Nothobranchius furzeri: one gene and its partner. The protein of the gene in region 1 purifies or fractionates together with the protein of each later gene. This does not show direct contact. Links are inferred from orthologs where the notes say so. Each region holds a gene or a part of one and is shown in the gene's direction. Other genes may lie near its edges.

Evidence for each region.
Region 2: the proteins of solute carrier family 12 member 6 (region 1) and stk39 purify together in Homo sapiens (affinity purification with mass spectrometry; 3 studies listed by BioGRID and IntAct, with this or other methods). This does not show direct contact. The link is inferred for Nothobranchius furzeri from reciprocal best matches to the Homo sapiens genes SLC12A6 and STK39.

What each region holds. Positions count from the first base shown.
Region 1 is NC_091742.1:80,351,678-80,355,498, forward strand, and holds part of solute carrier family 12 member 6, read left to right. Parts: intron 1-1,121; coding exon 1,122-1,250; intron 1,251-2,302; coding exon 2,303-2,449; intron 2,450-2,531; coding exon 2,532-2,586; intron 2,587-3,821.
Region 2 is NC_091754.1:20,095,379-20,099,199, reverse strand, and holds part of stk39 (STE20/SPS1-related proline-alanine-rich protein kinase), read left to right. Parts: intron 1-1,865; coding exon 1,866-1,988; intron 1,989-2,513; coding exon 2,514-2,543; intron 2,544-2,819; coding exon 2,820-2,876; intron 2,877-3,821. UniProt on the Homo sapiens protein: Effector serine/threonine-protein kinase component of the WNK-SPAK/OSR1 kinase cascade, which is involved in various processes, such as ion transport, response to hypertonic stress and blood pressure.

The sequences.
Region 1 (3,821 bases):
AGACCGAAAGTTAGTTTCTGTTTTTCCCGCGCCGGTAAAAAACGTCAGATTTTCTTTAAATTCCAGCCATGAAAATCCAAAAACCTTTTTCACCTGAGGTTTTAATACTTCTTTACACATGCCATTCAAAGGAATTTTGCCTCTGGCCAATATCTTTAATAGCAGCAGATTCTTCTCTATACACGTCTAGGTTGAGCCATATTCGCTCACTCTTCTTTACAGAGCTGTTCAGGTTGGGTCAGATTGGATGGTAAGTGTTGGTGACTGTAATCTTCAGATCTCTCCACAGATATTCGGTGGGATTCGGGTCTGGGCTCTGACTGGGACACGCGGGGACCTTCACTTTTGTCTCCTCCAACCACTGAGTGGTCTGTTTAGCTGTGTTCTTTGGAAGGAGGGTCCTAGTATTAAACAACGACACTTGTTTATTCTAGACTTTACTGAGCTCCTTGGTATTGGTAGAGCCTTTGAGATGCTTTTGTATCTGTTTCCTGCCTCGTGTCTGTCCACAACCCTGTCCCTGAGACCTTGTGATAGTGGTCTGCCACAGGAACAGCTGTTTCTGTGCTACAACTGATCCCAGGCCAGTAACCCGTAGCTAAGGAAATGGTGGTTACATTCTCTGAGTGAGTGAAATGTGTTGTTAGGGTGGCTGATCCTTTATTCATCTCAGCATTTCTTGTTTTTTAAACTCTTCTTTCCTGTATTTACCTGTAATCTTATTTTCTTCTTCCTTTTCTTTAAGTGTATGTGCTGCTGTAGCAAGAACATTTCCCTAAAGTGGGATTAATAAAGATTATTCTATTCCAAACTGTAACAGATATTCTTCAATGAATGCTGTTGGGTGCATTAAGTAAGTAACGTTGGTAAAATGTGTTTTTGTTTGTTTCCTTTTTAAGGTTGTAAAGCAAAAAAATTAAAGTCTTGGGGTGATCCTTTTCTATACCTCTGTGTTTGTTGGCTCAGGTTCCTGCTTCTTCACCTTTTCTCTTTCACACCCTCCTTCCCTCGGGTCTCCTCTCCTTTCCTTTTTACCCTCTCTTCATCTGCTGTTCCCTTCTTTCTCGATGCCAAGGCCACCGTCTTTACCATTGCCTCCCCTGCTTGTTTCTGACCAATAGGAGGAGATGGACACGCGGCCCAAAGTGTCGTCTCTTCTCAGCCGCCTGGTTAACTACACCAACCTGATGCAGGGGGCCAAGGAGCACGAGGAGGCTGAGAGCATCAGTGACAAGAAGAAAACCTTCAAGGTGTGCAGACGTATTAGCAGTATTTGTCTTTAAGCTAACATTATTGGAACATTATCACTCTGACAGGAAGTCCCTGATTGAAGGTGACTCCTCCTGCTACAAGCAAACCTTTCCTAGTCTCCATTACAAACACAAGTCCTCATGTCTGTCCAGGTCAAATGCTTAAACAATAAAACAAAACCTCAACTTGACTGGTTTCTCCCAGATAGATAATTATTGACTTAATTGAGCGTCCCACGTGCTTTGTTCTACAACTACCGTAAAGGTCAGACCTTCTGAGAAAGCTGGAATGAAGTTTGATGAGATTTCATAAACGACCACAAAAATACATTTTGACAAAATAATTTCATCAACTAACAACACAGGAACTCCCAGCATTTACTGAAAGACACGTTAACGTGTGTCCTGGCTGTGGAAAATGTGTTTAGACTTGACCTGTTTTTGTTTATTTTTAATAACAATGAAGAAGCTGACCTTGCACTGGCAGCTCATAGTGGAGGAATCTCCTTTTGTGAGGGACCACACCAGTCGATGAGTTCCTGTCCAGAATCATATCTAAGACTCAAAGTGCGTTGGGATTTGAACCTGATCTGCACTGATGTGCTCCCTGATAAAAGGCCTTCAGCCACGATAAGTTTGTTTTGGTGCTTCACAAGAATTCCTCGTGTTCACTCGGCTCTGACTCTGAAGCAGGAGAAATGTTGAACCAACACATCTTTAACCCTGCCTTCTGGTTCTACAGTGTTCAGTGTGAGCGTCGGCATCATGGGAGGATTTTCCAGTAAGATTTAAACAAATGTTCACAGATGATGTCAGGGTTTGTGCTTTGGCTCCTTGTGAAACAAATCATCTTGAGTAACCCAGGTTTGTGCAGAAAAGCATCTTATCAAATGTCAACCAAAAGACTTTAGTGGACATTACTAAGAGACTCACAGCCGAAACCGTGACTCTTGGGTTTGGGTTTACACTTTAACATGTAGCAGTTAGCTAAACAGTGTGGGGCCCTGCTGTTAGAGTTTGCATAACTAACTAGTCCCATTGATGTGTCCCAGTCTCCACAGATGGGGACGTTCATGGGCGTCTACCTGCCTTGCCTGCAGAACATCTTTGGAGTCATCTTGTTCCTGCGTCTAACATGGGTAGTTGGAACCGCCGGGGTGCTGCAGGCTCTTTGTATCGTCTTCATGTGCTGCTGTTGTGTGAGTTTCTGTGTCCTTCGACTGAAAACAGACAAGATCAACCCTCCCTTTGTGTGTTTAAGTGACTGTTTGTCTTCTTTAGACGATGCTGACCGCTATTTCAATGAGTGCAATCGCCACTAACGGAGTCGTGCCAGGTATTGCTTCACCTTTACATATTTACATTGTCTCTTGGTGCTCGTGACTCACCTTTGGTCTGGTCTCAGGTTCAGCAAAAAGCCATTCAGAGGACACCCACATAGCCAGTTTATTCTCATAAAATGTCCCGTTAACTTACTGTAGCCACTGTACTCGTGTAACATCTGCCTGTCCTGTCCCTCCCTCTGCTCGTGTCTCTGTCTCTGTCCCTTGTCTGTCCATACATTACAAACCTAGAGTATTTATCTGCCATTGACCTTAACTTTCACTGAAATGCATCTAGAAGGATGCAGCGAATACCAAAGTAGTGTGTTTTTATTCACTTCTTTCTCCTTCAGCATCTTGACATGTAGAAAATCCAACATCTAACATGTCCTGTTTGGACCTTCATCTCCATGCTTTCCGTTTGTCACATGACCAGCCTGTGTTTTTCATGCTTTCTCGACATTTCATTTTAAGGTGGTACTTACTGTTTGTGTGTGGATTCAACATCGATCATACTACCTATATGTAGTGTGGCCATAGACATATAAATATTGGACAATGGGTTTCCATAGCTCCAATAACACGTTTTTGAGGCTAAATGGGAGGTGGCCACCACCGCCATTTTGACCGTGTCACAGGTTCCGTCAAGCCCAGACAATTCCACAAAAGGGAAGAGAGGTGGAGCTGAGGGTGGGGCTGTAAGGCTGGGATCAAATGACGACACCCGGTCGAACTAGCTACAAGCTAACCTGAAGCTAACCCAAAGCTAACGCGGAGGTGGGAGCTAAGCTAATGGAGGTAGCAACCTAGCTACAACCGGAGTTAACTGTGCACAACACCAGAGCTTCTGAGTCAGAGATACGCCGGGCTGACCGCTGGGTAAAACCGGGTGGAACACAGAGGTCTCCGAGACCTCCACAAGCCGGCAGCCGCACAGCAGACAAGCGCCTCTGCGATCTGGGATGCGCAGAGCTGCCGCTGGGGAGAACCGGATGGAAAGGTTTCCATCCCAGAGCTCCACAAGTCGGCAACCCGCGCATCAAACAGAAGCCGCGATCAGACAGAGATGCGCCGAGCTGCGGGGAGGGGAGAATGGGTGGAAAACATCGGTCTCCCGAGAGCTCCACAAGCCGATAGTCGGAACCCAGCTCCACCAACATGTTATATTTCAACCCATTTTCTAAAGTGCAGCATTATGTTAAATGCACTGGGTTTTACCCTATTACATTTAAATTTCAGTACATGTTAA
Region 2 (3,821 bases), on another chromosome or scaffold:
GCCACATTACCGCCGCTGTCTGACCATCGACATACGTTTGTGGACAATGGGTTTCCATAGGCTCCAATAACACGTTTTTGAAGATAAATGGAAGGTGGCCACCACCGCCATTTTGACCGTGTCACAGGTTCCGTCAAGCCCAGACAATTCCACAAAAGGGAAGAGAGGAGGAGCTGAGGGTGGGGCTGTAAGGCTGGGATCAACTGACGACACCCGGTCGAACTAGCTACAAGCTAACCTGAAGCTAACCCAAAGCTAACGCGGAGGTGGGAGCTAAGCTAACGGAGGTAGCAACCTAGCTTCAACCGGAGTTAACTGTGCACAACACCTGAACTTCTGAGTCAGAGATACGCCGGGCTGACCGCTGGGTAAAACCGGGTGGAACACAGAGGTCTCCGAGAGCTCCACAAGCCGGCAGCCGCACAGCAGACAAGCGCCGCTGCGATCTGAGATGCGCAGAGCTGCCGCTGGGGAGAACCGGGTGGAAAACATCGGTTTCCATTCGAGAGCTCCACAAGCCGGCAGCCCGCGCAGCAGACAGAAGCCGCGGCGATCAGAGATGCGCCGAGCTGTGGGGAGGGGAGAAACGGGTGGAAAACAGAGGTCTCCCGAGAGCTCCACAAGCCGATAGTCGGAACCCAGCTCCACCAACATGTTATATTTCAACCCATTTTGTAAAGTGCAGCATTATGTTAAATGTACTGGGTTTTACCCTGTTACATTTAAATTTCATGGTTAAACAGTACATGTTAAAATCTAAGCTCAGCTCGGCAGTGACCTAAAATACATAAATATAATTTTACTTACCGAAAAAAATGAAGTGGAGACTCCTTGGACGCTCTATTAGTGCAATTAATGCCACAGCAAGTCATTTTGTCCAACAATTGCACAAATAATATCCAAAAAAGAATACACAAATGGCACAACTAAGGGTCTAAGTTGAGAGACTGAAAATGACTGACCAGTTTTCAGGCTGAGGCCTTTCTACGGAGCTAGCTCTGTGGTCACGTGGGTCTGATGTGGTGGTCACGTGGGTCTGATGCTCATTAATTATACAGAATTTTAGGCTTTTAATACACTTAAACAGAAGAGTTTGAAAAAAATTCTCCCCCCTCAGAGTTGTCATGAGTGTAAACTAGATCATTTAAACCTAAAACATGTTTTGGTACCAGGCTGTAAACATGTTTATTTCTGCTATGAAATAGGTATTTTTAACATGGGAGTCAATGAGGATTTGCTCGCCTCTGACACCAGCCCCCAGCGAATGAGGGTGGAGCTGCAATTTATTTCACTTCCGCGTTTGCCTCAATTTTTGACCTGCATTGTGGGGGCTTGTGTCTGACCCATCGACATGGTCTGATCGCCTATAAATGACTTAAAGCTCCCTGACGCCGCCACGGTAATGCGGCAAATTTACGGCATTGTTTTCTAAAATCGGCTACTGTGACGCTAGCAGGGAACCTTAAGAAAGGGGTTGGACCTTTTGAAAAAAAAATTTTTAAAGCTTGGTCAAACAGCTTTTTTCAAGAACTATTACTGCACCTTTAAATAAAATTTAGCAGCAACACGGGCTGCCTGCTAATGTGCCTGTTTGTAAATCAGCTCTGCAAATATTGACAAATATCAGCCCGTCATATTAGTCTTAAACATAAACAACTTTTTAACAATTTGCAGGTCATTTCATCTTAGTTCTTTTCACGTTTATGGACAATTTCAAGTTTTTTGGGATGAGGAATACAACCTTGTGCATCTACGGGTGGTAATATTTAAAGACCTGTTAAGTAAAGAATATTGTTCATTCACGCTCTATCTAAAAGCAACAAATGCAATTTTAAACGGGCTGAATTTGTGTTGTGTTGCTCAAGGTGAGGAGAGTTCCAGGCTCCAGTGGCCACCTGCACAAGACGGAGGATGGAGACTGGGAGTGGAGCGACGACGAGCTCGATGAAGGCAGCGAGGAGGGGAAGGCGGCGGTGAATCAGGGCAGGGTGAGCACAACAAAATCCATAAAGTTATTAAAGCTGTGCATGTCACACCTAACCCAACAGATCAAACTGTTCTGCACCACCCTCGTTCATTTCTGCCCTCCTTGGTCAGTTAGTTTTATAGCAGATGGCTGAGAAAGTCTGCCATGAGGTCACTATAGTGAGCTGGAAGATTGCTGTACGGATTTTAGACAGGAGGAAGAAGATTGCTTTGATCAAAGAGCCTTTTGATAAAGACTCAACTTTAATGGATGATGTAATTAATAATATCTCACAATGGTTTAAAAAAGAAAGACACTGCTGAAGGAATATCATGATCATTTCCTTCTGTTTATGGTAATCCTGTTACTTTCAGACAGTTTTGTATCATAAAAAGAAAAAAAAGTATTGAGCGAACAAACATTAAAAAACACTGCAAATATTAAAATTATGAGCAGTTTGTTTCTTTTCTGTAGGAATGTTTTAAAATAGATTTTAATATTTGTTTGCATGATTATGTGAAAATGTTCTTTTTTCCCCTCTGTTTAGTCCCGAAGGCTCAAATATGAGGCCAAAAATGTAAGTTAGTTTTTCATCCTTGTACTCGTTATATTTATATGAATTAACAATTTGAAAACACTTTGCTTCATTTAGTAATCCTACTAACATTTAGAAAAATGTTTGTATCCTAATTTTAAACCTCCAAGTTCTGTGATTTCCAAGTAAGAAAAGAAAAATAGACTATCAGAGTCCGTTAATGTTGGTTAAACTGCATTTTGTCTTCATAAAATGTGCTCTGGTTTGATATTTAGCAGGCATTTGCACAACTATGCCCTCTGATTTTGTTCCTCCTAGAATGAGGAAGATGCCAACAATGTCCCTACAGAAGGCTTGTCTGTTCAGCATCCCCAGGTGAGGGAATCTGCAGTAGCTGCACTAATTTGTCATGCTTCAGTGACCTTGATGATCGTGTGTGCGTGCGTGTGCGTGCGTGCGTGTGTGTGTGTGTGTGTGAGTGAGAATGTCTGTTTTCAGGATGGATGCTTTCAGCAGTAATAACTCAGTAAATAGCTGTCATTCTGACAGTGCCAGCTCAGTAGATAGGTGTATCTCATCTGAAGACTTACTACCATTGTAAATCATTTTCTGCGTTTATTGTCAGTTTAAAGAGAGTTTGAGGCGAGGTCTCTTAGAAATAACTCTGATAACTATTTTGCAGCCATTTTTCTTCCGTAACATCCATAAAACCAATTGGTCATTTAAAACTTAATATCAGTGTTAAGTCTCTCGCACCACTTTATTTTATGTAGTTTTCATTTCCCCTCTCCACTTCCTCCACAGCTGTTTCATTTTCAGGCAAACATGCAACATAGAGTTTAGTTTCCTTTATTTGGACTATTTGTTAATTTTTTTCCAGTGTATACTTTGTGTCAGTTTTATCTCTTATTGCCTGATTAAAAATAGTACACTGCAAAAAGTGATTTTCAAGAAAGTAAAAACAGTTGGGATTTACGAAATAGGCTTTTTTTTTAAATAGATACCCGATATATGCGGGTAAGAAAAAAAAGGAAAAAAAATTGTTTTAGGTAACTAAAGTTGCAAAATACTATCTCAATTAAAGTTACGCAAGTTGAGCCAAAGAAAAATATCTCAAGCTAATACCTTGGATCTGTCATATATGTCATTTTGAGAGGAGAACTAGCTAAAGAGTTGTAACTCTAAAGAGATGTATAACCCGTGCATGGTATGTAAAAGTTAAAGAGTAAAACTCATACTGATAATTTCTGATTTTACACTTGAATGGATCGGACATCCCTAAAAAAGCCTTGTTTTTAGACATTTTATCTTATGTTTTGT